3 linked regions of the Anolis sagrei genome follow. The protein of the gene in region 1 purifies or fractionates together with the protein of each later gene. This does not show direct contact. Links are inferred from orthologs where the notes say so. Each region holds a gene or a part of one and is shown on either strand. Other genes may lie near its edges.

Evidence for each region. The genes of interacting proteins can lie anywhere in the genome.
Region 2: the proteins of FAM98A (region 1) and ATXN2 purify together in Homo sapiens (co-immunoprecipitation; 3 studies listed by BioGRID and IntAct, counting the BioPlex papers as one, with this or other methods). This does not show direct contact. The link is inferred for Anolis sagrei from reciprocal best matches to the Homo sapiens genes FAM98A and ATXN2.
Region 3: the proteins of FAM98A (region 1) and ATXN2L purify together in Homo sapiens (co-immunoprecipitation; 3 studies listed by BioGRID and IntAct, with this or other methods). This does not show direct contact. The link is inferred for Anolis sagrei from reciprocal best matches to the Homo sapiens genes FAM98A and ATXN2L.

What each region holds. Positions count from the first base shown.
Region 1 is NC_090021.1:50,027,752-50,038,579, reverse strand, and holds the start of FAM98A (protein FAM98A), read right to left. Parts: upstream 4,020-10,828; 5' UTR 3,914-4,019; intron 2,089-3,913; 5' UTR 2,040-2,088; coding exon 1,987-2,039; intron 1-1,986. UniProt on the Homo sapiens protein: Positively stimulates PRMT1-induced protein arginine methylation. Involved in skeletal homeostasis. Positively regulates lysosome peripheral distribution and ruffled border formation in osteoclasts.
Region 2 is NC_090034.1:30,792,740-30,802,490, forward strand, and holds the start of ATXN2 (ataxin-2), read left to right. Parts: upstream 1-5,375; 5' UTR 5,376-5,451; coding exon 5,452-5,690; intron 5,691-9,751. UniProt on the Homo sapiens protein: Involved in EGFR trafficking, acting as negative regulator of endocytic EGFR internalization at the plasma membrane.
Region 3 is NC_090026.1:22,716,693-22,727,199, forward strand, and holds the start of ATXN2L (ataxin-2-like protein), read right to left. Parts: upstream 4,377-10,507; 5' UTR 3,411-4,376; coding exon 3,139-3,410; intron 1-3,138. UniProt on the Homo sapiens protein: Involved in the regulation of stress granule and P-body formation.

The DNA of each region.
Region 1 (10,828 bases):
ATAACTTTCCCCTCCAAACAATGCCCCGTTGTTCACTCATTTCTTTGGCTAATACTCCAAATTACTTTTTCCCAATACTTCTTTGGATCCTTTTCTAAAATTGGTGTTTACTGGAAGATACATTCTTTTAAATCATATTTTAGAAACCCAAGTTAAAACATGTGATATCAGTTCTGATTATTCACACTGTATTATTAACTAGTATCTGCAATAAGTAAAACCAATTGCTGCATATGCACAGTATATACACATATAAACCAAATTAAGTTTATATTTGTTTCCACATTGTGCAAATACAGCAGGATGAATTTTCACCAAACTGGGAGATTACATTAAGGTGATCTAACTTGAAAAGCACTTATTAATATAATATCAGTTCGGTTTGACCCACATAGAAATCCTAAACTAACTCTAAAATAATTTTGATTTGATACCTGAAGACAACTATTTATTTAATGAAAGAAATGGATCAATTGTGTGATTTGCACTTTGGATCAACTGACTGGTCCAGACCAAGAATTTCTGCCCTTTTCCATACTGCAGCCTACTTATCAGTAACCTTTTAGTCTCTATACATATATGATCATCAGCAATGAGTACCTCAGCTCCTCCATTATTCATCCAATGCAGGAATAAATTAGCCTGTCCTGTGATAATTAACAAGTAGAAAACTGCCCTTACATCAATATCTAAACTCTTTTAGAAGAAAAAAAAAACAGTTTTTATGAACTTCTTAAGAAAATGAAACCAATGTAGCTTTCACGGCTAACTGGAGGGCTAACCTAGCCATTTTTGTAAGTAACAGCAAACATGAATAATTCTCCTTTAACCTCCCATCTGCTTACTGTTAATATTGTTCTACTTTTGTAACAGCTGTTTGCCTCTACTAGGTTCTGTGTGAACATTCCTCATGTGCACTGATATGCATAGATAACCATACATTTCAAAATAAAGAAAGAAGCTAGAAACTAATTTCTCTACAGCATAGAATTGAAATATTACAACATTACTAAAAAGGCTAAAGGCTTCTATGCAATGACTAGTAAAGGGAATTCAGCTAATAAAAAAACAAGGAGCATGAAGGAAAAAGCCCAATTACTTTAAAAATACTATTTTAAACTGTGAGTTTCATCCATGGTGCTAGACAATAAATCACTGACAGATGTCATGCATAGTCAATTTTTCCACTTTTGCTAGGGCATAGCACTGGTCTGAAATCCTTATAGAATCATAGAATCAAAGAGTTGGAAGAGACCTCATGGGCCTTGCTGATAAACTTAGTGCCGGAAGTTGAAAGGGGCATTAAAATGATTATATTTATTTCCCCTTTCTTCAAATCTATTCCATAACTATGGAGGTTAAGGAAACGAATGAGAATAAAGAATAAACTGGACCAATGATTGTTTTTGAATTAGCTATGAAAGAGATGCTGTCATTCTTATGTCATTTTATGACAACTGCTCTGCACTGTTTGAATAGAACGCTAGAAAAGGATATCTCTGATCTGATTCAGCTTTATTATTCTGTTCTTACAGCCAAAATGCCTTTATATGTTCTGGACCTCATCTTGCTAAGAATGACCTGAAGATATTTTCATTTTCTTAAACAACAGAATCCCTTTCACCTGTACTTCAATGAACCAACAGTGATTATATACCTGAAACATAACATCTATACAAAAATACAAACTGCAAAGCCTGGCAAAACAGGTAAGAATACAGTACAGCCACCACATTCATGAAGACTATGTTCCAAAATACTCCCAGCCCCACAGACAGCTGAAACCTTGGGTAATAGCAAACTCTATATTTTAACAATACTAGGGAGGAAAGCAGGGCATAGAATTGCATTGGAGGATCTGGAGAGGCCCACAAACACTGAAACTGTGGATATTAAAACTGCAGATATTAAATCTGTGGATAAAAGTGTGCACTGGAAAAAGAACATTGTTTTCAAAGCTGAACAGTCATTTTCACTCATACATACCCTAGGTCTTCAAGTGATTCCAGAATATCATTCTCCATGAGCTCGAACTCCATTCTGGAGCTTCAGAAAGAATCCAACAGAAAAATAAACAGAAGCTGGAAACTAGAATCAGCAAAAACAAAGCCAAATTAGAATTGCTTGGGAGAAATGCATGGCTACCTACATGCTAGCATAGAGCCCAGGAAGGGTACCTTGTACAACTGGGTCCCTTGTCCACTGCCACCCATCCTAGAATCACAGAATTATAAAGTGGGAAGATACTACATCCAGCCAAAGCTCCTGCAATGCACAAAGCACTCCTGATACATAGCCATCTAGCCTCTGCGTAAAACTCCAGAGAAGGAGACTCCACCATACTTCAAGACAGTACAATCTACTGCCAAACAGGTGTAAGAGCCAGGAAATTCTGTTTAGGTCAGACGTCAGAACTCAAACTGTAGCTGTCCAGCTGTTTGGGTCTCCGATTCCCAGAATTCCTGACTACTGAACAATCTGGCTTGGGCTTCTGGGTGCTGGAGGGCAAAAACAGCTGAAGTAGGCATGGGCAAACTCTGGCCCTCCAGGTGTTTTTGGACTTCAATTCCTACAATTCCTAACAGCTGTTAGGAATTGTGAGAGTTGAAGCCCAAAACTCTTGGAGGGTTGAAGTTTGCCCATGCCTGCTTTAGCCTGTGCTTCAAGTCCTGCCAGCTGTTAGGAATTGTGGGAGTTGAAGCCCAAAACACCTGGAGGGCCAAAGTTTGCCCATGCCTGCTTTAGCCTGTGCTTCAAGTCCTGCCGGCCATTAGGAATTTTGGGAGTTGAAGCCCAAAACACCTGGAGGGCCAAAGTTTGCCCATGCCTGCTTTAGCCTGTGCTTCAAGTCCTGCCGGCCATTAGGAATTTTGGGAGTTGAAGCCCAAAACACCTGGAGGGCCAAAGTTTGTCCATGTCTGCTTTAGCCTGTGCTTCAAGTCCTGCCGGCTGTTAGGAGTTGTGGGAGTTGAAGCCCAAAACACCTGGAGGGTCAAAGTCTGCCCGTGCCTGCTTTAGCCTGTGCTTCAAGTCCTGCCTGCTGATAGGAATTGTGGGCGATGAAGCCCAAAACACCTGGAGGGCCAAAGTTTGTCCATGACAGCTTTAGCCTGTGCTTCAAGTCCTGCTAGCTGTTTAGGAATTGTGGGCGTTGAAGCCCAAAACACCTGGAGGGTCGAAGTCTGCCCATGCCTGCTTTAGCCTGTGCTTCAAGTCCTGCCAACTGTTAGAAATTGTGGGAGATGAAGGCCAAAACACCTGGAGGCCCCAAGTTTGCCCATGCCTGAGCTGGAGGGTCACAGTTTGAAGATCCCTGGTTTAGGCTGAATGTCGTTCCTGCATTTTGAGCCGGCTGCTCTGGGTCCCACGCATCTACATTGTCAAGTTAACGCAGTGCAGTGCCACTTTAACAGCCATGGCTTAATGCTATATCATTGTGGGGGCCTTCCAGAGAGAGTTGGTGTCTCACCAAACTACAGTCCCCTGGGATCCCATGGCATTGCGCCAAGGCAGTTAAAGTGGGGCCAAACCACAATGTAGATGCCCCCAGCCTCTGGAGCAGCAGGGGAACAAGCCTGCTCCCTCTGCCTCAGTGTGGCATCCTTTCAACTATTCAAACATGGCTCTCCCTTCTCTCAAACCTTCTTTTCTCCAAGCTAAGCCTCCCAACTCCCTCACTCTTGGGCATCTTTCCCATTTCCCGGTGGGGAAAGGCCTAGTGCGGCCTCCACCTTCGGGCCCCCTCCCAGAGGCCTGTCGACTCATGGCGAGCCCATACTTTTCAGAGGGTTTCCTGCCCTGGCCCACAAGGCGAGCAGCCCCTGCGTCGCCTGAGAGGGCGGCCCCTTCCCTTTCCCCTGGGCTGCCTGGGGCTCCCCCCTCCCTCGGCCCCCACACGGGCCCCGGCGCCCACCTTCCGCGCAGCTGCTACGCCGCCGACTGCTGGGTTGGCATGTCAGCCGGTGGGGGAAGGGCGAGGAGAGAGGGAAGGACCTCCCCGCCTCACCTCTCACCCCGGACTTGAGGGGAGGGTGGCCAAGCTAGGCGCCTGCGTTTTGGAAAAAGTATATCCTTCTCTCTGCGTCTCCAGCCAGCGGGATGCTGCTCCCTCTTTTTTTACACATCGTGTACACCCTGGGATGTCTTTTTCTTCTTAACGCCGAGAGTATACTTCAGCGTGAAACAGGGGTTTTCTGTCAGGCACTCTAAAGGACAGCCCGCAAAAGACTTTTCTCGCTGTTCTTTCTCTCTGCGGGGAAACCACGTTGTAAAGCACGGGGCCTGAAAGGAATAGCGCCGACGACGTGGGATGAGGGACAAACTACTTCAGGCGTTTCGTTTTGGGAAACGATACGTTCCAGCATGTGCCTTCGACCCCATTTACACTGCCATACAATGTTGAAAGCTGCCATATATAGTCAGTCGATTCATATAATGCAGTTTAATTCACACGATGCCGCTTCAAACTGAATTATATGCTCCGTGTTGACTCATATAATACTAAAATATAATACTAATATTGTGCTGTGCTAATATATTGTATACTATTCAAACTACAAGAGAGGAGATTCCATCTGAACACGAGGAAGAACTTCCTGACTGTGAGAGCCGTTCAGCAGTGGAACTCTCTGCCCCGGAGTGTGGTGGAGGCTCCTTCTTTGGAAGCTTTTAAACAGAGGCTGGATGGCCATCTGTCAGGGGTGATTTGAATGCAATATTCCTGCTTCTTGGCAGAATGGGGTTGGACTGGATGGCCCATGAGGTCTCTTCCAACTTTTTGATTCTATGATTAATATTGATAATAATATTATAAAGTAATGCAATATAATACTACTAATAATACAAAATAATTATATATTTCATATTACATGTAATATTACTAATAATATTACAGTACAGTGGTGTAGTGCAATATGGGAATGTATGGTATGGTACTCATATTGTGTTATGCTAATAATATAATATATTGTATTTACATATAACTTGTAAGCCACTCTGAGTCCCCTTCGGGGTGAGAAGGGTGGCATATAAATATCGTAAATAAATAAAATAAGGTTTGACTTGTATAATGCAGTTTGAAACTTCACTCTATGGCAGTGTAGATAGGGCCTTGCTCTGCAGCCTTAAATAGAAAGCAACCTTTGTTGACTCTGAAGAGGGCCGGTGTTGTTATTTTTGCACACAAAATGGAAACTTGAAATCCTGAGAATGGTGGCCAGTTAGCTGTTGGATGAGAGCAATGAATGATGGGTGCATCTATACGGGATAATTAATTCAGTTTGATATCATTTAAACTGCCACGGCTCAATGTTGTGGACCAGGAGCTGTAGTTTTTACGAAAAATAATAATTAGCCTTTTCTGCCAAAGAATGCAGGTGCCTCACCAAACTACAGATCCAAGAATACTACAGCATTGATCTATGCAGTTAAACATGGTGTCAACCTACATTCCCAGTTAGTGATGCTGGGGGGACACCTGCTCGGACCCCTGGTCTTTGACCTGTGGGGTCCCACAAGGTTCAATTTTGTCTCCCATGCTATTCAACATCTGCATGAAACCGTTGGGAGAGGTCATCCGGAGTTTTGGAGTGCGGTGCCACCTCTACGCAAATGACCCCCAACTCCACTACTCATTTCCACCAGATTCCAAGGAAGCCCCTCAGATACTGGACCAGTGCCTGGCGGCTGTGTCGAGCTGAATGAGGACGAACAAGCTGAAGATTAATCCCGACAAACAGAGGTCCTCCAAGTCAGTTGCACATCTGATCAGGGTATTGGGTGGCAACCTGTGCTGGACGGGGTTGCACTCCCCCTGAAGTCACAGGTCCGCAGCTTGGGGGTCCTCCTGGACTTGGCGTTGACACTTGCGCAAGTGTCAGCGGTGGCCGGGAGGGCCTTTGCACAATTCACGACCATACCTCGTGAAGTCGGACTTGACCACGGTGGTCCACACCTTAGTTACCTCTAGATTGGACTACTACAACACACTCTACATGGGGCTACCCTTGAACTACAACTGGTCCAAAGCTCGGCAGCCAGCTTAATAACGGGGGCAAATTACAGGGAGTGGTCAACCCCCCTGTTTAAGGAGCTCAATTGGCTGCCATTTATTTTCCAGTTCCAATTCAAGGTGCAGATCATCTACAAAGCCCTAAACGGTTTGGGGACCCACCTACCTTCGCGACCGTATCTCCGTCCACAAACCTGCCCGACCTCTTCACTTTTCGGGAGAGAGCTTTCTCCTCTGTGCACCCCCCCCCCCCCCAACCCTGGAATTCATTGCCCGTTGAGATTAGGCAAGCCCCCACCCTAGAAACTTTGGAGAGTGATTTCACATTTCCCGCTGTCACTCCCCACTTAATGTTCCTCCACATTCTGCAGATTCCTGCCGTTATGAAGGCCTGTCTCCATTACTCCGTCATTTATGAGTTTCTCTCTTACAAATATACCTGTTTTTATTTCTACCTCATCCTGAATTTTATCATTACCTGTACATGTGGCCCGCTCACTATGATCGTGTTTGATTTTTCTCTGTATTATTTTTGCTTTAAAAAAAATATTTTTTTTGCTTTATTTATCTTTTGCGATGTTTATTTCATGTTTTTGTATTATGTTGTTGTTATGATATTGTAATTGCACTACCGGGCTTGGCCTCATGTAAGCCGCCCCAAGTCCCCTTTGGGGAGATGGTGGCGGGGTATCAATAAAGATTATTATTATTATTATTATTATTATTAATTCAACAATGTAGACTACTGCTGTAATACCAGTGCTGCAGAATCTAGTGCGCAAGGCCTAAGCAGCATTTCTCAAACTAAACTAATACACGTTGAGCATCCTGAATTTGAAATGTTGGGGACCAAAAAAGTTCAAAATTTCGGAATTTGGAATACTGGAAGGAGATAAGACTCAAGTCTAAACACAAAATTCATTTATGTGCCTCACACATTGTCTGACGGTCATTTTCAACACAATATATGGAATTATTTTGTGTATGAAACAAACTGTGTGCGTGCATTAAACCATCAGAAAGCAAGGGTGTTGCTATCGCAGCCATCTGTGTGAACAATTTTGGATTTCAGAATTCCAGATAAGGGACATTCAATCTTTATAACTATTCCTGGATGGTAGTAGCATTTCTGGCTGTGCACAAACAATGAAGAAACGCCAGTAGATGGCACCTGCCTCCTTATTGTGTGCCTTTGGGTCATTTCCAACATATAGGGACCCACTCATGGGATTTGCTATCAGGCACATGTGTCAAACTCAAGGCCCGAATCTGGCCCACCATGTCATTTTTTGTGGCCTTCCAGATGCTGGACGACATCTGCATTCCTCATTAGACATGACTAGAGATGATGGAGTTGTGATACAGTAACATCTGGAAGGCTGCAATTTGTTCTACTTATTCTGGGCTTAGATTTAGATACAAGGCTTATAGGTATGTTGCTTGACTTTAAAGTATTTTTAACCTTTCCCCAACCTCAGAGACACAAGAGACACAAGAGCGGTTGGGTTGCAATTCCCATTATCCCCAGTCTGCATGGCAGATGATCAAAAGTGATGGGAGTTGTCGTTCAGTAACATCTGGGGTTTAAACTAAAGAGCAGAAACCACTATGTAATATGTTATAGATAGATAGATAGATAGATAGATAGTTGGCTCTCTGTATCCATGGATTCTCCTTCCGTGGATTCAATTACCCTTTGAAGGCAACCATAAGGCAGATGTGACTCTTAATGAAAATTAGTTTGGCACACCTCATCTTACTGTTTTGTCTTCCTCTGAGGTTGAGAGAATGTGACCCAGTGGGTTCCCATGGCACAGCAGAGATTCAGACCCTGGTCTCCATAGCTGTAGTTTAACACTCAAACCACAACACCACACTCCTTTTTTAAAAAAAAAACCAGCCTAGCTTAATGTAATTTAGGGCTCATTTGCCCTACATAATTATAGTGCCTTAAAGTGATTTCTAACTTACAGTGACTGTGAAGCGATCCTATTACAGGGTTTTCTTGGGTAGATTAGTTCAAGATTAGTTGTTGTAATGAGAACATATCATTTGAGACAACAATATATTTCGAGAAGATTTCTAGAATTGCTGTGTGCCAAGAAAAGAGAACAAAAGAGTCTGCATGTATAAATCTAATTCTAACTTCAATTTATTAATCCAAACTATATTAGCCAATACATACACTCTATCCCGAGATCCAACTCAGAGAGGTTTAAGAAAATAATTCACTGTAAATTATCTTACAAAAAAATCAGGAAATTTGAAATATATGGGAGTGAGAAGAATGATGTTCACATTTATACACACTTTTACCAAAATTCAGCACCTTTAAAAAAGCTATTTTTAAAATTGTGAGATTTAAAGTAAAACAAATTTATTTATCTCTAAATGCATGCATATATTATCAGGCATTTTAAAATGAGACACTCAAACCAACATGGCAGGCCACCTTTCTTCCCATAAGAGGTGATATTTATTTATTTACGACATTTATAACCCGCCTTTCTCAACCATATGGCAACTCAAGGCAGGTTACAGATTGGCACGATTCGATGCCATGCATTCATAAAAGTGCAATTAAAAACAGTCAATATAACAATATTAAAACATATATAAAAACCATTAAAACATGTAGTCACCAATGTCATCTTACAAACCATATTTATCTCTTAAGTTCCAGCTTCAGCAGCCAAAGATGAGGAACTATGAACGTTGCAGGCCAAACACATTGATTTATTATGTGCAAGGCCAGAATGGAGAACAGATGCCACATGTCAGGAATATTTCAACAATACTAATTAAGGGACATCTCCACTACAGTACATTACTTCAATTTTATTCCATTTCAGACTGCCATGTCTCAATTCTATGGAATCCTGGGAGCTGTAGTTTCTTTGTCAAATAGTGCTGGTGCCTCATCAAACTACAACTCCAAAAATTACATAGCATTGATCCATTGCAGTTAAAGGAACCTTGAACTGAATTAATTCTACAGTACAGATGCACCCTTACTCTTAAATATTCTTTATAGATGCACCTCTAAAGCCCTATACAGTTCTGGCCCAACTTACTTGTCCGAAAATATCTCCCTCTATGATCCACCTCATCCACCCCACCTTAAGTTCATCGGAGGAGGCCCTGCTCTCGATCCCACCACCCTCGCAAGCGCGACTGGTGGGGACAAGAGACGGCCTTCTCTGTGGTGGCCCCCCATCTGTGAAACACACTCCCCAGTGAAATCGGGTTGGTCCCTTCTCTTCTGTCCTTTAGAAAAAAGCTTAAATCATAGTTATAGGACCAAGCATTCGAGCAACAAACACAGCAATAATAATGCATATTATTCCATTGACTATGAGTTTGAATGTGGATTTGGACTTGGATTTGTTAACTTTTAAATGAATATTTTAATCTACTGTTTAGTTAATACTTTAATTGTGATTTTATTGCTATTGTTTGTATGGCATCTAATGATTACTGGTTGTAAGCTGCCCTGAGTCCCCCTTCCGGGGTGAGAAGAGTGGGATATAAATGTTTGAAATAAAATAAATAAATAAATAAGCATCCAACAATGTAGTTATGTGTTGTTGAAGGTTTCATGGCCGGAAACACTGGGTTGCTTTGAGTCTTCTGGTCTGTATGGCCATGTTCCAGAAGCACTCTCTGCTGATGTTTTGCCCATATCTATGGCAGGCATCCTGCCACATCTATGGCATGGATGCCTGCCATAGATGTGGGCGAAATGTCAAAAGAAAATGCTTCTGGAACATGGCAATACAGACCAGAAGACTCGCAGCAAACCAATGTAGTTATAGTTTCTCTCTGTCATCTTCCTGTGTTTCAAAAAGGAGAAACTCTCAGAAGTTTAAAATATTCAGCTTAAAATAACAAAGTTCAAGCCATGATGCCAAAATCTGCTATTCTTTTGGCAGCAGGCTAAAACCTTTATATTCAGGCAGGCTTTTAATGAAGAAAGTTTTAAAGACCAAGTCAGGAGGTGCTGTGTAGTGTCTTATCTACATATTTCAATATTTTAAAATAATTTTAATTGTTTTAACTATTGTAATAATCGTGTGCTTAATTTATTTTAGTGTTTATATGTTTTAGGCTTTAATTTGTACATTGTATTGTTTTTAACATTGTTAAACTCTTTTAAGAGAGAGAAAGTGAGATAATAATAATGATACAAATAATATAGTCTAACAGTACATAGGAGTATGTTACAAATATACATAAAACAATTTAATTTCAGTTCTGCACAATAGTAGGAAAAACTGAAGAGAGATGGCTTGCGGGATTATGCTATAATGTCTCATTAGAGTATAAGCAGTACAGAGAGGGTTTATCAATGTACCTACACTTTCTGTTAGCGTGTTGCCTGGGTATGATTTGTAGTCTGAATTTCCATGCTTTGGAACAAATCCAACCAGATGAACAAGATCCTCCAAACTATGCTTTCAGATTTGCAGGAAGGATTAAATCTATGTCATAATTAACATATTTGCACTTCTAGTTAACATAAAGCAATTGTATGATCATCATTTTAATGTGCTTGGCTTTTTAAATGATAAATACACACCAGTGACACCCTTGTAACTCTTAGAAACAGTCAACTCTGGTGTGACTTGTCTTAAGCAAAACTATAAGCATAGATGGGATGTCTCCAAATCGGCCATAAAAGCCCCATGCAAATTATAGAAAGCAATACTAACCTTGAAAATGATAGATCCCATCCTGCAGTGAAAGTGAACTAGACACGAGAGGAAGAATTCTCAGGAATAAAATCTAAATCATCAAATCAGATGTAACCTTAGGCTC
Region 2 (9,751 bases), on another chromosome or scaffold:
ATGTTTGCTTGTTTGAGATACCTTTCTCCTGTCCCACTGTATAGAGAAATAGGAGTGTATTTCCATATGCAACAGAGGTGTTTAATCTCCTAATCAAAACCCTTTTTTGGAAATCCTCTTAAGCTTTGCCTGGCTCATCTTGATGGCCCAGCGCTTGTGTGTTCCTTTTTGCCAGCCATCGGGAGGTGCAACTTGAAACCCTGGTGAAGCCTAATCCAATTAACTCTGCAACTGGCCTTTTAAAACTCCGATTAAACCCAGACTTTGTGGCTGCTGCACCAAGCCCACCTTTTCCCTGCCCTGCTTTGCTCCAGTCTGAGCAAAGGTTCTGGAAAACTCAAGGCTGCACTCACTCTGCTGCTGTCGCATTTTGCTAGAGAAAGGGCCTCATGGTGGATTTGGAACCAGAGTGACAAGAACGGAACTTGACATCAGTAGCTTTTTGAACTGTAATGCCCACAATCTACCAACCAGCCTGGCTGAATTGTCTGTCTGTAGGAGGACAGATATATTGGCTGACTCAGTGGTGTCCAAATTTTTTGCAAGAAGGGTCAGACTTGGCAAGATTAACATAGGAGCCGATCAATTCAGCCTGACATTCTTTGAACCATTAACATTAATGGCAAATGAACTATTTTATGAAATTTGCATTGAAAATCACATACTTCTCATTTCTTCACACAGAACACAAATCTAAACAAGTTTTTACAAAAATCACTCTACCTTTCATATTTGAAGACCACATAAAATGGAGAAAAAGTCTGTTTGGAAGATTAAACATCTCTAGGTTCATTTGAAACTACATATTATTCACTATTGAATGCTCCCCTTAACTGGGTTGTTGTAAGTTTTTTCGGGCTGTATGGCCATGGTCTAGAGCAGGCATGGGGAACCTTCGGCCCTCCAGGTGTGGTGGACTTCAACTCCCACAATTCCTTGAGGCCAAGGTAAGCCTTTGGGGCGAATGCCGAGCCTCAAGGAATTGTGGGAGTTGAAGTCCACCACACCTGGAGGGCCGAAGGTTCCTGACCCCTGGTCTAGAGGCATTAACTTCCCTTAACTTCTAAATTCAAAACATATAAACAGAAAAATAACACTAACAATTATCTTACAAAACAAAACATTGAGGGCATTTTAATTGTACAAAATGCATAAGGTTGTGGCTGAACTACAACTCACATCATGCCAGGTTAACCCTAAGAACCTCCATCAGTACTTCAAGTTGGTTTGGTTGTGTTGGGCAAATTTGCTCTGGATGCATCATCAGTAAGGTTCAGTGTGCTCTCTGGCTGCAGGGTAAACTACAGCTCCCACTATGTTGAGTCAGTCCCCTCAAACCTCTCCAGTAGGCCGAGTTAGTCAAGGGGTGTGTCAAGTTTGGTCCAGATCCATCATCGGTGAAGGTCAGAGTTTCTCTGGTTGTGGGTTAACTACAACTCCCAGAAGGGAAGGTCAGTTTCCTCCAAAACCTTGCAGTAATCAAATTTTGGTATATCAGATATGTGTGCCAAGTTTGGTCCAGATCCATCAGTTTTTGGGTTCACAGTGCTTTCTGGATGTAGGTGAATGACAACTCCCCCAAATCAAGGTGAATTTCCCCCACAGACCTCCAGTATCTGGTCATGGAGCCTCTGTGGAGTTTGGTCCAATTCTATATCCTTGATTGCAGGTGAACTATGAATTCCAGTACCTCCAACTCCAAAATGTCCAGGCCAATTCCCCTCACAACCCACCAGTATTCCAATTTGGGCATATTGGGTATGCATGCCAAGTTTGGTCTAGATCCATCATTGTTTGGGTTCATAGTGCTCTCTGGATGTAGGTGAACTACAACTCCTATAAATCCCTCCAAAGACCTCCAGTATGTTTTTGTGATCATGGGGGTTCTGTGTGCCAAGTTAGTTCCAGGTCCATCACTGGTGGAGTTCAGACTGCTCTTAGAGTGCAGGTGAACTATACATCCCAGGACCTACAATTCCTATGAATCATAGTGAGTTCTCCCCAAACCTCTCTAGTATGTTCAGTTGCTGATCAATTCCTCTGTTTGCTGTATGCCATAGAAAAGAATAGGAAAGGGTTAAGGAAGAGGCAGTGGGCGGGATCATGCAAATTCCACACCGATGGAGAGAGTCAGAAATCTGGGATGTCTGCGGTGGAGGAAACGCATGAAATCAAGGATTGAAAGCCTTCACTTGGGTGGTGGGCAGTATGGTGTTTGTGGAGGACATTAGCAGGGCTCTTGTGCATGTTCATGGCGCTCACTATAACCTGCAATGTCACTGGGGGGGGGGGGGGGGCTTTGGTATTTCCTGAGCAGTGGGAGCTATATAAGCCCTGAGTCCCTATGGGGAGATAGAGTGGAATATAAATAAAGTATAATCATTATTACTATTATTATTGTGGAAGCAGGAGCCTGTCTGTGTCAGTAGACACCCCAGCCACACACACATACATATTTTAACTTTTATTATGTGTATAGATAGATAGATAGATAGATAGATAGATAGATAGATAGATAGACAGACAGACAGACAGACAGACAGACAGATAGAAAGATAGAGAGATAAGAATATACAATACTAATCTACTAACAGATAGACTTAAGTTATAGCTTTCAAAGAACAGTTTGGAAACAAAACTAACAGAAACATCCAAGAAAAATCTTCAAGCAGAAAAGGAAAGGATAACTAACTGGAATCAAAGATCCAGCATAAAAAGACATGGTTATTAGGTTTCAAGGACAGTAAGAACTCTCTATTACAGTGTGTCTCAAACTTCCTAATGCCGCGACCCCCAAACATAAAATTATTTTTGTTGCTAATTCATAACTAATTTTGCTTCTGTAATGGATTGTAATGTAAATATCTGATATGCAGGATGTATTTTCATTAAATGGACCTAATATGGCACAAATGCCCAATATACCCAAATTTGAATACTGGTGGGGTCAGGAGGGGGGGGGGGTTGTCATTTGGGAGTTGTAGTTGCTGGGATTTATAGTTAACCTACCATCAAAGCATTCTGAACTCCACCAAAGATGGCATTGGACCAAACTTGGCACACAGAACTCCCATGACCAACAGAAAATACTGGAAGGGTTTGGTGGGTATTGACCTTGAGTTTGGAGTTGTAGTCGCCTACATCCAGAGAGCACTGTGGATTCAAACAATGATAGAGCTGGACTAAACTTGACACAAATACTCAGTATGTCCAAATGTGAACACTGGTCGAGTTTGTGGAAAACAAACTTTGAAATTTGGGAGTTGTAGTTGCTTGGATTTATAGGTCACCTAAAATCAAAGAGCACTGATAGAATTGGGCCAAACTTCCCCCACAGAACTCCCATGGCCAACAGAAAATACTGTGTTTTCTTAGAGTTTTTGGTGACCCCTCTAACATCCCCTTGTGACCCCCCCAGGATGAGAAACGCTGCTCTAGTATATGGAAGATACCAAGGCTGAATCAAATCCCACCTTGTCTGCTTTGAACTAGAATATATGGCAGTGTGAAGTCAGATAACCCAGTTCAAAGCAGATATTGTGGGATTTTCTGCCTTGATATTCTGTGTTATAGGGCTGTGGGCTCTTCCACACAGCCTATATCCCAGGATATCATGGCAGAAAATCGCACAATATCTGCTTTGAACTGGGTTTTCTGAGTCTACATTCAGATAATGTGGGATTTTCTGCCTTGGTGTTAGAGGGCTGTGTGGAAGAGCTTATAGACTTTCCAAACAGTTTAGTAGTTTAAACAATGAATGTTAGGGTAATAGAGATGAAAATCTGAATGTAATACCATACAATGTTTTAAAGGTTCCTTAACTGCTCTCACCACCACCACCACTTTTCTTGATTATTTATTAGACATTTGTTAAATCTATTAAACTTATAAAATTAATAACAATATGAATAAATCCTAAATGTGTATGTGTGGGGGAGAGTCTTGGTGGTGGGTCCGTAAGTAGATCTAGATTAAAGGTAAAGGTAGTCCCCTGACATTAAGTCCAGTCATGTCTGACTCTGGGGTGTGGTGCTCATCTCCATTTCTAAGCCGAAGAGCCAGCGTTGTCCGTAGACACTCCAAGGTCATGTGGCCAGCATGACTGCATGGAGCGCCGTTACCTTCCCGCCGGAGCGGTACCTATTGATCTACTCACATTTGCATGTTTTCGAACTGCTAGGTTGGCAGAAGCTAGGGCTGACAGCGGAAGCTCACGCCGCTCCCCGGAATTGAACCTACGACCTTTCGATCAACAAGCTCAGCAGCTCAGTGCTTTAACCCACTGAGCCACCGGGGGCTCAGTGGGTTAAATCTAGATTAGATATAGATATTCCGTATTTACCCAGATCGAATGCTAATCTTTTGGGGCTACATAAAGTGATCTATTCTACAGCATAGATGCCCCAAGGTTTTTTTTCCCATTGCTGGAAGCTTTGGTATTGTAACCCGTTTGTTTTGAAAGAAGCAGGCAGCAACTCAAATGGCAGCATGACAAAGAGGACACTTTTGGCCACTTTCTTTGTGCATGACATTGGGCAGCAGAGACTTTTTGGTGTCAGGAGGTGCAGTTAGGCCCCTTCCACAGCTTGACAAAATCCACCTTGAACTGGATGATATGGTAGTGTGGACTCAGGGCCCTTCCACACACTCATATAACCCAGAATATCAAGGCAGATAATCCACAATATCTGTTTTGGACTGGGTTATCTGAGTCCACACTGCCAGATCATCCAGTTCAAGGTACATTTTATCCAGCTATGGAAGGGGCCTGAGTTATTCGAGGCCCCTCCCACACAGCTGAATAAAATCGACATTGAACTGGATTATATGGCAGTGTGGATTCAAATAACCCAGTCCAAAACAGATATTGTGGATTATCTGACTTGATATTCTGGGTTATATGGCTGTGTGGAAGTGCTCTGGGTTATCTAAGGGCCCTTCCACACAGCCCTATATCCCAGAATATCAAGGCAGTAAATCCCACAATATCTGCTTTGAACTGGGTTATCTGAGTCCACACTCAGATAATGTGGGATTATCTGCCTTGATATTCTGTGATACAAGGCTGTGTGGAAGGGCCCTGTGTTATCTGAGTCCACACTGCCAAATAACCCAGTACAAAGCAGAGAATGGGGGAATTTTATCCAGCTATGTGGAAGACGCTTGTGTGCATGGGAGACCCCCCCAACCCGCAAAGCCAGTTGCAGGCTCCACGCATGCGCTGCCTTTCTCCTCGAGGGAGGGAGGGGAGTTCACGTGACCCGGAAGCGGGGCCCCTGCCCGGCTGAGGCGACGAAAGCGGCGGAGGAGGGAGGGGCCATGCTGGAGGGGGCGGAGCGTCTTTCTTCGCTTTCTTCTTCTTTCCCGCCCAAAAGCAGGCCAGAGGCTCCTCCCCCTCCTCTGAGGAGAAGAAGAAAGAGGAGGAGGCGGGCAGAGCAAGGGAGACCGGCCATGGCCCTCAAGCAGAGTATCACCACGCCAGCTTCGGCAACTGGAGCAGCGTCCCCCGCGCCTTCGCCGCCGCCTCCTCAGCAGCAGCAGCAACAACAGCAACAAGCGGCACCCAGCCCGCCTCCGCCTCCCCCCCCACCTCCTCCCCCGCCACAAGGCTCGGCGGGCGGCAGCGGGGGAAGGAAAGCCCCCGGCGGAGCAGGCCTCGGCGGAGGAGCAGGCCGCGCCGCCCTCGGCAGGTGAGGCCTTCCCCTCTTACCTCCCCTCCCCGCCCTCGCGTTGTCCCTCCCCCAGACTTTGGAGCCAAGCGGCCTGGGCCCCGAGCCGGGCCCTTCCTTGGGGTGGGGTCGCCTCAGCCCCTCCGCCCCTTTCCTGCGCCATGAGAGGAATCCGGAGGGGGAGGAGGAGGAGGAGAAGGCAACTCTTCGGTAGCCTGCGTTGAGTGTATTATTGAGGCGCCGCCGCCGCAGTCTTGTGACCGGCCGACCTCTCTCGCTCGCGCTCCTCTTTCCGCCACGGAGGCCCCTTCCCCACAGCTGAATCAAATCCCACCGTGTCTGCTTTGAACTGGAATATATGGCCGTGTGGACTTAGATAACCCAGTTCAAACAAGAAATTGTGGCATTCTCTGCCTTGATATTCTAGGTTGTAGGGCTGTGTAGAAGGGCCCTGAGCAAATGGGCGCCTGCTTCCTTCTCAGCAAAAGGGACCGACTCCCAAGAGGTCCCACGAGCACGGCTTGGGTTCTTTTTCGATCCCTCCACCGTTTTATTTTCGATCGTGTTATTTTAGTCTTGCTTTATATTCTCATTAATGTCTTTAATGTCTTATTGTCTCTTCTTTGTATTTTTATTTGATGTTATATGGTATTCTGTTCTGATTTAATATTTAATAATTTATTTATATTTTTATTTCATTTTGTGTTTTATTTTTTTTAATTTATATTATATTATCCATATTGCGTTATATATATATATATATATATCACTATTATCTATAATTATGATATATTTTCTTATATGATATTGTTATATTTTATATTTTATTCTTTTTAATATTTTTATGTTATATTACTATGTCATATTATTTTATATTATATGATATTGTTATTGTATTCTAGTTTGTATTTGTTTCTATTTTATGTCTGTATTATATTAATACCTTTTTATTTTGTATTTTTATTAAATTATTATCTTTTATATTCTTTTTGTTCTATTTTATATTTTTGTTTTGTTATATTATGTGATATTATTTTATTATATGATACTGTTATTATATTTTACATTTTTTTATTTTGTATTTCTATTATATAGTCTATTTTATATTCTTTTTATGATAAGATATGATAGTGTATTTTATGTTCTCTATTTTTTATTACTATGATGATGACATTGTTGTTATTGTTATTGTTAATATTTGAACTGCCCCCTCCACCTGTGTCTCTCTTTCTCCCTCGGCAGGAGAAGGGTCACTTGTGCTCTAGTGGCAGCTATAATAACAGCAATAATAATAATAATAGGAAACGTATTAACCAACTCTCATTGTGGCTGAAAATTCTGTTTGGCGAGAGGGGGGAGCAAAAAGGAGGGATCTGGGGATTGTATGAAAGGAGCCTTTTCTTGTAAGGGGCTTTCTGCCCAGGATCCCAAGGCAATCACAAAATCAGAAAAAAACAAGAGAGAATGCTGGGCAAAAGGAGGACCCAGAGGAAGTGCAGGATTAAAAATAAAGGTCTTTTCCTTTTATTGATGTCTGCCCCCCATCCCTCCACCACCCGAATCGGACCACTGTACAAAGAATGGGGAACGCCCGCCTCCTGGCTTCCCCCTTTCCTCCCTTCTCAACATTGCATCAGAAACCCCTCTGGTTTGACAAGGGAGGTAGGAAGTAGAGGTAGGGCTCAGGTGGGGAGGGGGGCTTTGGGGTTGCTGCCTGGGGAGTGGGGAAAAGGTGAGCTGAGGCGTCCCTTCCCAAAAGGAGGGAGAATATTTTGTTAGAGGAGGATGGGCTGTCATCCTCGAAAAATGTTTGACCAATCCAGCGTTAACCTTGACCTGGGATCTTTACGGTGTTGGGAGGAAAAGGATGGGGGTGACATACTTTGAGGGGGAGGCACATGGCTTCCTTAAGGCTTTGTGCATGCCTCAATAGAATACGGAGATTCCAGGATGCAGCAAGTGGTCTTCACCTGGAGGAGCAAAGCAGCCTCTTGGAGGGGGATGGAGGGAGTGGGCAGAGCATGGCACCCAGCAGAGGCAGGCAGGGAGACTTGTGGTGCCTTGGCAGAAGGGAGGAGGATCCCTCTCCTGCAAGAGGGCCTTAGGGAGGAGGGAGAAGCAAGGGGGGCAGAATCCACTTGGGGCTGCTTCATAGCAGGCATTTGGGATGGGGAAGCGGCATATTGTCATGGTGCTGGGGGGAAACAGACAAGGACTTTCTGTGCGGTATCTCTGCCTGTAAGAAGTTGTATGAATGGGGAAATAGGGCATGGGTAAGGGCACTCCTGTCCAAGGCCTGGGCTGCTGCAGAGGGATTCCAGGTCTGGGGTAAGCCAGAGAGGAGGGAAACTTTTGAGCTGGTTCTTTGCCTGGACGTCCTGTGGGTGACCATTGGGACAGAGCAGAATTGTATGACCCTCCCAATGCTGGGGTATTATAGGTCTCAGCAGCCCTGGTGAGTAATGCTGAGGCTTGCGGGTGAGGGCAATCTGCAGGATCAGTCTGGAGACTGAGGGGGATTTCCGACCTTCAGGGTTAGGTAAGGAGCAAATGGAGGCCATGCCGAAGGCACCTTGGCAAATGTGGTTGCACCAGTCCAAGCCTGTCTTTCCTTCCTGCAGTCTTGAATGCAGAATAGCATTCTCTGTCTCAGTCCCTTAACCAACCCCCTTTCCATGGCACTGGGCAGTGTACTCCTACTTGGTCTCCTTGTCTAAATCAAAGGCCCCCTCCAACAGTGCTCTCTTGGAGAAGAAGAGTGAAGGTTATCTCTTCTCTGGAAGATGCAGGGTTTGAATCTCCGCTGGTCAGACTGGGATATACATTCTGTACTATACATTCTGTACTGTGGCTTGTTTGTTGAGGGGGCTGGAGGTTTTACACAGTTTAAATACCCTTGAGATAAATAGTTGTGTGTGCGTTAATAATAACACTATGCAGAGGACCATAATAAGTTGTCATGATATAGGACCCGAAACTGTATTGCCTGCAGGAGGCAACAGCACTTGGAACCAAGTAATGCCCTATATTATTTATGGAAGAGCAAAGATACATTTGCATAGCTGTAGCTTGGGTTGCCTAGATGTGCATGTGGTTGATATTTTTCATGGCGCAGGGTTCTCCTTTCTTGTTTTTTGTACGGAGAGGCCCCCATCCTGTCCTCTATGGCTGCAATCTCTGAAGAACCCTCACTTAGAAGTGAGCCCTGCCAGGCTGATCCCTGAGTAAACGTTCTGGAAGACTTAGGCTTGAAGAGAAGGTTTGCTTGAAATGGGTAGGGTGCCATTGTTTTTAGCCCTCCCTTCTGGCTACTCTGCTCCTGGAATTGGGGCATCTTCCTGTCGGGCACGCTGTGGGAGGCCGGAGCTATATTGCATGCGTAGGCTGCGTATTGCAGTGGCAATGTGTGACAAGTGCTTCAGAGCCCTGCTCCTCCATTGGCAGTCACTGGGCCCAGTCCATTGCTGGTTTCCAGGAAAGAAAGACATTGATGGTCTGGAGGGGCACTGAAGGAGGTCCGGTTACTGGCAGGTTGCAAAACAATTGCAATTATCTTCTTGGACAATTGTCTTGTCCAGTCCATAGCTCAGGAGTACATTTTCCCACATAAACCGACCTTTACCCAGGTTTTATCCTGCTCTATGAAGCACCTCCGTCTAGTATAGTTGGGAATGGAGCACATGAAGCTCAGAGAAAGAGGAAGACTAAAATGCAGGATCGTTTTCTCTCTTCCTCTATCATTTAAATGAGTGAGGTTTTGACTGCAGCTTGCTAAACCATAAATTGCTTACCAAGGTGAAAAATCAAATCCTTTGGGTGCCTCATCTCTAGATGGCTACTTCTTCAGAAGATGGAGACCAGTGGCATCAGCCCTGCATGCAAGAGCTTCAGAAATGCTTCCCACTGGGTTCCCAGTGTGCTTTACTCCAAGATAATAATGTATTTTGGTTTCAAGGAGTGTATCCAATTTGAATCCACATTTGAGTGAACTGTATACAGAATTTGTGGAATTAGATTATTAGCTTTTAGAAAACTGATGGGGGAAATATGATTGGAAAGGAATGCGATTGTAAGACTTGCTT
Region 3 (10,507 bases), on another chromosome or scaffold:
TGAACAGAGGATGGGCTGGAGATGTCAATGCCTCAGTCCTTTCATTACTGGCTGCTACTTCCCAACGGGTATCAGGTGTGCAATACCAGGAAAAGAAAAGGTCTGAGGCTATTAGGTATTGTGGCAGTTGAAGTCCAAAACACCCGGAGGGCCAAAGTTTGCCTATGACTGGGCTAAACACTTCCCGTTTGTTTGTAAGACTATTTTCCCTCTAGGTAGGTCTACTGCAGTGGTTCCCAACCTGTGGTCTGTGGACCACCAGTGGTCCCCAAGAATGAAAATATGGTCCATGCCTTATTACTACACTGTTTCCTTGAAACCACACAGCAATGAGAGCGACTGGTCTTGCGGAATCCTCTTATAGTGCCAAGGCAATGGGGATGTCAGGAGAGGAGAGGCTGACTACCCACAAAAGATTACTACTACCACATCAGCTCGAAATTGTTAAATATGGTTTTCTGTGGGTGAGCAGATGGGGACTACTGTATGGCAAATATTCTGTATAAGAAACTAGAGCTGATGTGATCTATCCAATGCAATTTTCCAAATCAGCATCCCAAATATTCAAACCGAATCTAAAGTTGGTCAAAAACTGATTTCTAACCCTTTAGGTCCTAATGTTGTAGAGCAGTGGTTCTCAACCTGTGGGTCCCCAGGTGTTTTGGCCTACAACTCCCAGGAATCCCAGTCAGTTTACCAGCTGTTAGGATTTCTGGGAGATGAAGTCCAAAAACATCTGGGGACCCCAGGTTGAGAACCACTGTTGTAGAGTGATCCCTGATCAAAAAAAGGTTGGAAACCACTGCTGTACAATGTTGAATCAAGGCAGTTTGACACCACTTCAACTGCTGTGGATCAATGCTATGGAATCCTGGGAGTTGTAGTTTTACAAGGTTGTAGAGTGGTCCCTGGTCAAAGTGGTCCCTGTCCAAAAAAAAAAGTTAGGAACCACTCATCTACTGTATATGATGCAGCTGTGAACAAGTCTACATGAGGACCACCAAATGCAACTGCAAAGCTACTCGATTACTAATCAAGCTGCCTAATAGCAACAGTCACACTTGCCTCAAACAGAGTTCTTTCCTGCAAAGTGGACATTCCACAGATATATATACACATCCCACTTGCTTCATTCCCCCAAACCTCTAAGGATGTTTGCCATATTCAAATAAATAAATAGGTATGGGCCAATGTGGGCCTTCCAAATGTTTTGGACTTCAACAATACAACCGGTAGTCCCTACGTCTGGCATGGGGAAACCTGGGCCCGCCGGGTGTTTTGGACTTCAACTTCCACAATTCCTAACACATTCAGGCCCTTTCCTTTCCCCGCTCAGCAGCTTAAGCAGAGTTGAAGTCCAAAACACATTTATTTACTATTTATTATTTACTATATTTATATACCATCCCTCTCTGCCTGCAGGTGACTCGAGACGGTTTACAGTTGGTACCAAGACCATAAAATACAATTTCAATATAATAAAACAATAGAATAATAAAACCATGACAGAATCAATAAAAATACGTATCATTAGGGTCTCCTCATTAAAAACATTGTCCAGTCACATTGTCATTCATTCCATTTTCCTATGTCTGTTACTCTGTATTTGCAAATGCCTACTCAAAGAACCAAGTTTTAACTCTCTTCCAAAATGTTAAAAGGGAGGGGGCCGATCTGATGTCCTTAGGGAGGGCGTTCCATAGCCGAGAGGCCACCACTGAGAAGGCCCTGTCTCTCGTCCCCGCCAACTGTGCTTGTGACAAAGGCGAGACCAAGAGCAGGGCCTCTCCAGACGATCTTAAAGTCCTGAGAGGTTCATAGTATGCTTAACCCAAAACATACTATGCTTAAGCGACTGAAGGGGAAAAGGAAAGAGCCAGAGGCTGTTGGGAATTGTGAGAGTTGAAGTTAGCCCATGTCTGATTATTGCTTGTTGTTTAATATTGCTTTAACTGTTTTTAATTTGCTTTAGGTTTTGTATTGTTATGTTGTGTTTTGAGGCCTTGGCCTTTGTAAGCCGCATCGAGTCCTTCGGGAGATGCTAGCGGGGTACAAATAAAGTTAATAATAATAATAATAACTTCTTTTGAAAATGCATTTCAAATGTATTGCAGAGCCTTGTTCTACAAGACTTGGGTGAGTCTATTATGATGCAACAGAGATCAGTAACATATGTGTAACTTACATGGGAGTTAAAGTCCAAAGCACCTAAAGCAGTGGTTCTCAACCTGGGGTCCCCAGATGTTTTTGGCCCACAACTCCCAGAAATCTCAGCCAGTTTATCAGCTGTTAGGATTTCTGGGAATTGTAGGCCAGAAACATCTGGGGACCCCAGGTTGAGAACCAGGCATGTAGCCGCGGGGGGGGGGGGGGGGCTTTGGTGGCTTCCCCCCCCCCCCAAATTCTCATGGTGGTCCGCGAAAAGGCCTTCCTGGTACATTATTTAAACTGTTATGTTTATTCATATCATGATATGATCACCATGCTCAATATATCCCATATGCATGGGGGTATTGGGGTAATGATACAAAAGTATTGCTGAAGGCTTTCATGGCTGGAATCACTAGGTTCTTGTAGGTTTTTTCGGGCTATAGGGCCATGTTCTAGAGGCATTTCTCCTGACGAAACGTGCAGGCGAAACGTCAGGAGAAAAGCCTCTAGAACATGGCCCTATAGCCCGAAAAAACCTACAAGAACCTAATGATACAAAAGGTTTGCTAGGGCAGACCCTCTTTCACTCAGACTCAGCCCCCCCCCCCACCCCCCGGAAACAAAATCCTGGCTAGGGGCCTGTTGAGAACCACTGAAAAGGGCCTGACATAGATGCTACTGGGACATGGCCATAAAGCCTGAAAACCTCACACCAACCCTGCCTGTCTTCCATTTCTGCAAGGGGAGCCCCCCTCCATGTTGTCCCCCTCCCTCGCCCTGGGGCGGGGCACCCCATTGGCTAGAGCGCAGCCCAATCAGCGCCCGGAAATTCGGGCCTCCGCTTATCAGGGCCGCACACTCCTTTGGTCCCGCCCTCCTCCCCGCGGCCTGGCCAAGTCCTCTCTTCAACCCCTCACTGCGCGTCCACGCACCTCCCTCCCTCCCTGTACCCAAATTCCCCGGATGTAACATTAAAGTGATACCCACCTCGTCCCGCTTCCTCCCGGGGTCCCTCCTCCACCTCCTCCTCCGCTCCCGGGGGGCGCCACAGTGGCAACCCGGGCTCCCCCCGCGGCGCCGGGGCTGAGGCTGCCGTTGGGGCTGGCGGGCGGCGGGTTGGCCTTCCGTGAGGCGGCGGCGACGGTAGCCGAAGAGGTGCCGGCGGCTGCGAGGGGCGGCGTGGGCACGGAGGCCGGCGCCGGGCCCGAAGCCGGAGGGGCGGGTTGCGGTGAGGGCGGCGGCAGCGGCTGCTTCAACATGGCGGACGCCACAGGCTCAGCTTCCCGAGCCCGCCCGCCTGCCTGGCTTGCCTGCCTGAGCACAGGCGCACAGGAGGCCGTTGAGGCCTAGGATTCCCTTGAGGAGGTTCGAATTGAACCCGGAAGGGGAAGCCGGCCGGCGAAGGAGTTCCCTAGCTGACTGACTGACAGACAGACAAGACAGCGAGGGTGGTCACAAACGAGGGTTCTTAAAGGAGGAGGAGGAAGAGAACCTCAATCGACTCCCGCCCTTCGTTAGCCTAGGCCTTAGCGCGCGCGCGAGCGACTCACTGACTGACTGACTTCCCTGCTTGCCTTCTCTCAGAGCGTCGGGAGCGCGCTCGTTCCTTCGCTTTTTCAACGTAGGCCTCGAGGCCAAGGAACGGGTTTTTACGCTTGCTCGCGCGCGAGCGAGCGACGCGTCCTCTGATTGGTCGCCTGGCCCTGCCCTTTTTTTGTCGCGGGGGGGGAGGGGGGAAGGAGAGAGAAAGGAGAGAAGTTCTAAGGCTCGCGCTCCCTCTCTCTTTCTCGAGCGCGCGCGCTTCAGCCAATCAAGAGGCCGCGAGGAAGAGGCTCAAACCCGCGCAGGTGGGGGTTGGGGGAGGAGGGGGAAAGTCAGCCGTGTGCGCACGCGCAAAAGGAGGAAGTCAAAGCGAGAGAGAGAGAGAGAGAGGGGCGGGGGGAAGAGTGGTGATGTTGGCGCTGAGGGAGAAGAAGCCAACCCCCCTTTTTTTCCCCTTTCCCGACGCGAAACGGTTCCAAACCCCTTTTTTGTTTTCCGTCGAGCCGGGTTGTAGAGGTGGTTATTTTTTTGTTTTGTCCTCCCCCTCTTTTTTCCCCCCCTCTTTTAAGGAAAAAAGGGAAGTAGTACAGGATCCCGCTGGCGCCCGCGCGGACGAGAAGGAGTCAATCCGGTTGCTGCACAATGAGTCCCTGGTGGAAGGAGGGGCTTCGCGATTGCGCATGCGCCGAGAGAGGGCGCGCGCGCTCCCTCTCTCCCTCGGCCCCTCCTCCTTCTCCCGCGCGCGCACACGCACGCTCTCTACGTCTCCCTCTCTCCCTCGGCCCCTCCTCCCTCCTCCTCCCTACGTCTCCCACTAGCGCTTCCTCCCTCCGACCAATGTGTAGGATCGGGTTCCTGGCTGCGGGGGCGGGGGGGAAAGGGAAAGGAGGCGTTCCTCCGGTAAGGGCCCCCACTACACATGCGCAAGAGGAAACAAAGACCCAGGCCTGCCTCGTTATCGCCTGTTCGGAGTGCGCAGGCGCGGGACCCCGAGAGAGAGGGAAGTGGGAACGCCGCGCTTGCGCACAAACCTGCCGGGAGGGAGGGATAAGCCTTTGGGAGCCTCGCAGTGCGCATGGCTAGGGGGGCGTGGCCTCCTGCCAAGGCGCTGAAGCCCCGGATGTCGCTGGAAGGCCGTTGACCCCGTGTGACCCCAGTTCTTCAATGTCACGCGGGTTGCGCCGTAGCCACCTCAAGGACAACGCCACCCCTTCTTTGTATTTAGATTCGTAGTTATAATGTGTTATAGAGTACATTTTTAACAAATATGAGTATGTTACAGTACAGATAATAAGATTAGATCTGTAATAATGGGGAAAACACATTTTTTGTTAGAGAATTTCAGTTGCTTCCGCCTCAGCTGCTTAAGCCCTGGTGTTTTGGACTTGGGCCCTTCCAGATGTTTTGGACTTCAACCCCCACAATTTCTAACAGCCTCAGGCCCTTTCCTTTTCCCTCTCAGCCGCTTAATTATTTTATTTATTTATTCGGCAGTTTTGTAGTCTTCTCACCTCCATTCGAGGGACTCGGGCCGGTTTCCAACATCAATATTACAGACCGTCATTAAAACATCATATTTCTAAATCACACTAAAACATTGAAACAATTAAAATGTCAAAAATACAATCATGATTACAGTGGTCAGTCGTCATCAAAGTCATTATTAGTCGTCATCCATCCATATCACAGGATCATGGCTCATTCGTTGAATGCCAATCCCCAAAGCCAGGTTTTCACCTGTTTCCTGAACGTTAAGATCGAAGAGGCAGTTCTGATCTCCAGTGGAAGGGAGTTCCAGAGTCGAGGAGCCACCACCGAGAAGGGCCCCTCCAGATGATCTTAGTAATCTTGATGGCTCATAGGGGAGGATACATTCGGACAGGTAAATTGGGCCGGAGTCGTTTAGGGCTTTATAGGTTAAGACCAGCACTTTGAATTGTGCTCGGAAGCTGACTGGCAGCCAGTGGAGCTGGCGCAACAGAGGAGTAGTATGCTCCCTGTACCCCGCTCCCGTTAGTAACCTGGCTGCCGCACGTTGGACTAATTGAAGCTTAGTCTTCAGAGGCAACCCCACGTAGAGAGCGTTGCAGTAATCTAATCGGGATGTAACCAAAGCGTGGACCACCGTGGCCAAGTCAGACTTCCCAAGGTACGGGTGCAGCTGGCGCACGAGTTTTAATTGTGAAAAACCTCCCCTGACCACTGCCGAAACCTGGGGCTCCAGGCTCAGCGATGAGTCCAGGATCACTCCCAAGCTGCGAACCTGCGCCTTCAGGGGGAGTGTGCCCCCGTCAAGCACAGGCTGTAACCCTATGCCCTGTTCGGCCTTTCGACTGACCAGGAGTACCTCTGTCTTGTCAGGATTAAGTTTCAATCTGTTGTCCCTCATCCAGTCCATTATAGCGACCAAGCACTGGTTCAGGACTTAAGCGGCTGAGGGGGAAAAGGAAGGGGCCTGAGGCTGGTAGGAACTGTGAGAGTTGAAGCCCAAAACACCAGGAGGAAAGCTGAAGTTTGCCCATGCCTGATCCAGATTATCAAAGCAGATAATATTATTATTAAACTTTATTTATACCCCGCCACCATCTTCCCGAAGGGGACTCAGGGCAGCTAATATGAGGTCAAGCCAAGAATTACAGTACAATAAAATAAAATGCTAATAATAACAACAAAATTAAATAACAGAAAATGATATAAACAGATGCAAAACACAGTGATGAAGAAATAAAATAAAAGCACGGTGGGTGGGCTAAATGCACAGAATAAGACTGATAAAACCCTGGGAGAGATAAGTAAATGGAGAAATATGATGCTAAGGAAAATGGAAGGAAAAAAGGAAGAGGGGCCGACCAAGGGCAAGATGGATGGATGGCATCCTTGAAGTGACTGGCTTGACTCTGAAGGAGCTGGGGGTGGTGACAGCTGATAGGGAGCTCTGGCGTTGGCTGGTCCATGAGGTAACGAAGAGTCGGAAGCGACTGAATGAATTAACAACATGTGTCTGTGGGGGAGCTCAGAAGGGGCGAACAGTGGGATTGAGCCTTCATTAAAGACAAGGGAAAGTGGGACGGAAATGATGGAAGAGCCAGGTTTTTAGATCTTTCTTAAAGGCTGCCAGGGTGGGGGGCTTGCCTAATCTCACAAGGTGGCGAATTTCAAAGCTGAGGGGCCACAATGGAGAAGGCTCTCTCCCGCGTCCCCACAAGCCGCACTTGTGATGGAGATGGGAGCGAGAAGAGGGCCTCCCCCAAGGATTGAAGAGATTGCGCAGGATTGTAAAAGGAAATGCGGTCACGAAGGTAGTTGGGTCCCAAACCAGGGCTTTGTAGGTGATTAATGGCAACCAATTCAGTTCCTTAAACGGGGGTAGACAGCTCCCTGTAATTCACTCCTGATAGCAGTCTGGCTTCTAATCCACACTATCTGCTTTGAACTGGACTATATGGCAGTGCAGTCTAAGATAATCCACTCAAATCAGAGAATGTGGATTTTCTGCTTTGATAACGTGGATTAGAATGGGCATGAGAATTTGAATCCATTGCTGCATTGTAGTCTAGTCTCTGGAGCAGCAAAAACAAGTTTGCCCCTTTTCACATATTTATGCATGGCTTGGCTTGGCTTGTTTGTGCTGAAAATGAAGTTGATTTTGGGAGGCTTCCAAGATTTAAAATATTCAAAGGAAATAGTATTGGGTAGGTTTTGATTCTTAAGTTTTTGGTGCGGGCCATGCCTGCACGTCGGATATCAACAAATTTGATACAACTTACAAAGACTAACAAAAAATTGCACACCCTTAATAGCTATCATGTCTTCTCTCAATTTTCTATTCTGAAGGCTAAATATATTCAGCTTTTTAAGCCGCTCCCCTTACAGCATGTTTTTTAGATCTCTTATCATTCTAGTTGCCCTTCTCAGGATTACTTGACCACATCCTTCTCTAATTGTGGTACCCAGAAAAGGACATAGTATTCCAGGTGAGGTGTGAACAAGGCAGGATAGAGCTATTACTTCCCTTGATCTAGTATACCTCTCTTGATGCAGCTTAGAATTGCATTCCAGGTAGATTCAGTTAAGGAAGTTAGTCCTGCATTTGCAAGCCTGAAGCAGGATCACTGGTAAGGGTGACTTGGAGGTCTCTCATTGATAGGGTCACCGTAAATCAAAGTTGACTTAAGGCAGTTAACAACAACAAATTCTTTCCTGACAGGCGAATTCTTCTTCCTCCTCCTCCTCCTCCTCCTCCTCTTCTTCTTCTTTTCTTTTCTTTTCTAGGATATTTTATGATATATTTTAACAGAAAATTGCAATAAAGATTTTTTTTAAAAAAAGATGTTTTTAATAGGAGGCTAGTGCTGCAATCCTATATGTATATAACATGTGAATAAACCTTACCCAAAACAAAAACTTATGTGTAAATATATGTCTGGAAGAGGCTATGATTCTGACAGGTAAAAGTGTTAGTGAATTTAATTAATTCTGGTAAATGCTGCAGATGAACACTACTTGAGATGAAAATAATATTCAAGAATATTCACAACATTATTGAAAATAAGTTTCTTAAGGTTTGGAAAGGGGACACCAAGGTGGGAGAGATTCTGTGCAAAAAAAAAAAAAAGCAAGCATAGTCACACGCCTCGAAGTAAGGCAAGTGCAAAGCCCCTCTGAACAAATTCTTCCATGAAAACCCTGTGATAGGCCCACCATTGGGTCATCATAAGTCAGAAACAACTTGAAGACACATAAGAGCAGAGATCCTGCTATAGATAGTTTATGTGACAACTTGGTAGCTGAAGAATATAGCAGTGGCTGGGAGAAAATTGGAACAATGACCAACTGTTACAATACTATCATTTTCCCATGTTTCCTCTTAAATCATCCCTTCTTATCTGGAAAAATGTAATCAATATAAACATGGAGAAAACACCAATTATTCAAAATTAAGGACTTTAAAAAAAGGCAAGAAACATTGCCTCTACATATACTCCGGACTAAACAGCAAAATGTTGTCTTGAATTGACTCTTAAGAAATAGCCACGTACCTTTCTAAAATCTCAATGGAAACGAATTGGAAGAGTGCACACATAATGTGGGATGTGTAAACCTCCAATATTCCCAAAAGGTGATACATCTGAAATGTATGATTGGCTAATTAATATTAAATATCCTAGAAACAATGCTATAAAAACTGTCTGGAAAACAGATCTCATAATTACTACATTTTGGATGAAAGCTGGCACAAAGGTGGACATCTTTCTAAGAATCTAAAGGCAATGTGTAGGTGTCCTACCAAGCTAGCCAAAATTTGTTGTGGGCGAAATTGTATCCTCCTCTATCTTTGGCTAGAATTTTAGAGCGTTAAAAGTATTTTGATATACAGAACCATTAATGCTTAAAAGCAATATCGGTCAGAAGACAGAATTCAATGGCCCATTATTATTGCAATCACTCTTTACTGGTAATAATAAAAGTCTGCCACATTAAGATTTACTAGTGATTCTAATAGCTATAGCTAGATCACAAACTAATGACATCTTAAAAGGTTTAACCACAAATGCCCATCTGAACAGCATATGAACAGTTGTACTTAATGAAAAATTGGCATATTGCCTGTGAGCTTTAAAAATGAAAACCAATAGAGGACAAATTTATATGTACATGGTATGTTTGTCATACATCAACAAAGACTCTTACCATTGTTTTTAATAAGATTACTTGTCGTTCTATCTGCAATTTATATCCCACTCTTCTCACAGCATGAGATTCAAGGTGGAATGAACTCGCCTGACTGGTAAGCAGTTCAACATCTTGTCATTTTCCTGCAATAGGACTGTCCAGCATTCATGTACTACACATCCCAATAAACTAGTACATAACACTGAACCAAAAACAATTCCAAAATAAACTCAGGAAAGATACCACTTACAATGCATTGACTAAAAATATTAAATTACTATGTTGCTCACTTCTATTATAGTTTCTATTTGTTCATTAAAAAAAAACGTAAAATATAAAAGGTGGGAGCTTGAACAATACAACTGCCTTTATTTCTGCATATATTATCACAGATATTCATATCCCAGTTGCTTTGCTTGTGGTGTGGGAAGAGGGCACCTCGGCCCAGGGGGCCATAAGGATCAACAGTGTTGGCCTCAAGCAGGCCTTAATTGTTTGGTAGTCCTGCTATGTGGAGACGCTAAAGGACAGCTGTAGCTAAAGGACAGTCGTAGCTTCCCCTTCTGTATACCACCACCTGCATCAATTTTGCCACCAAAAAGTTTATAAATAACTATGTGCAATAATTCTTTATACCAAATGAAATATTGAGAACTGGAAGTACAGCCCTGATGAGTGCAGTTCTTGTGTTCAAAGTGAGATAGTTGCAATGGTTCTTTCAGCAAAAAAATTAAAACATACATTCCTATGAGAGTCCATAAACCAGACTTATTTTATGCATACTGCCCTTTCCTGTAGTTTCTGTCACTATGTTTACTCTTGTGAGTCAAATATTAACATGATACCCAAAATATATAGTTCTGTCATCTAAATTGTGATCCAGGTTATATAATGGAGTTGGTGTGCTATGATTAGATGTGCCATTACATTATATCCAGTGATGTGGGACACCATCTAATGGCTGTGTAGATTGGGCTGGGAATGGTGTAATGTGGTCTCTGGGTCTAATCCCACAGGGTCCACATCTGGTAAGATCTGGATCTCTAAGATCTGGGTCTTCCAGGTATTTAATTAATTCAGAACAATCCAGGGAAACCCCTATTTATTCCCATTTAATTTTTTACCGGAGGCATTGTTTGGA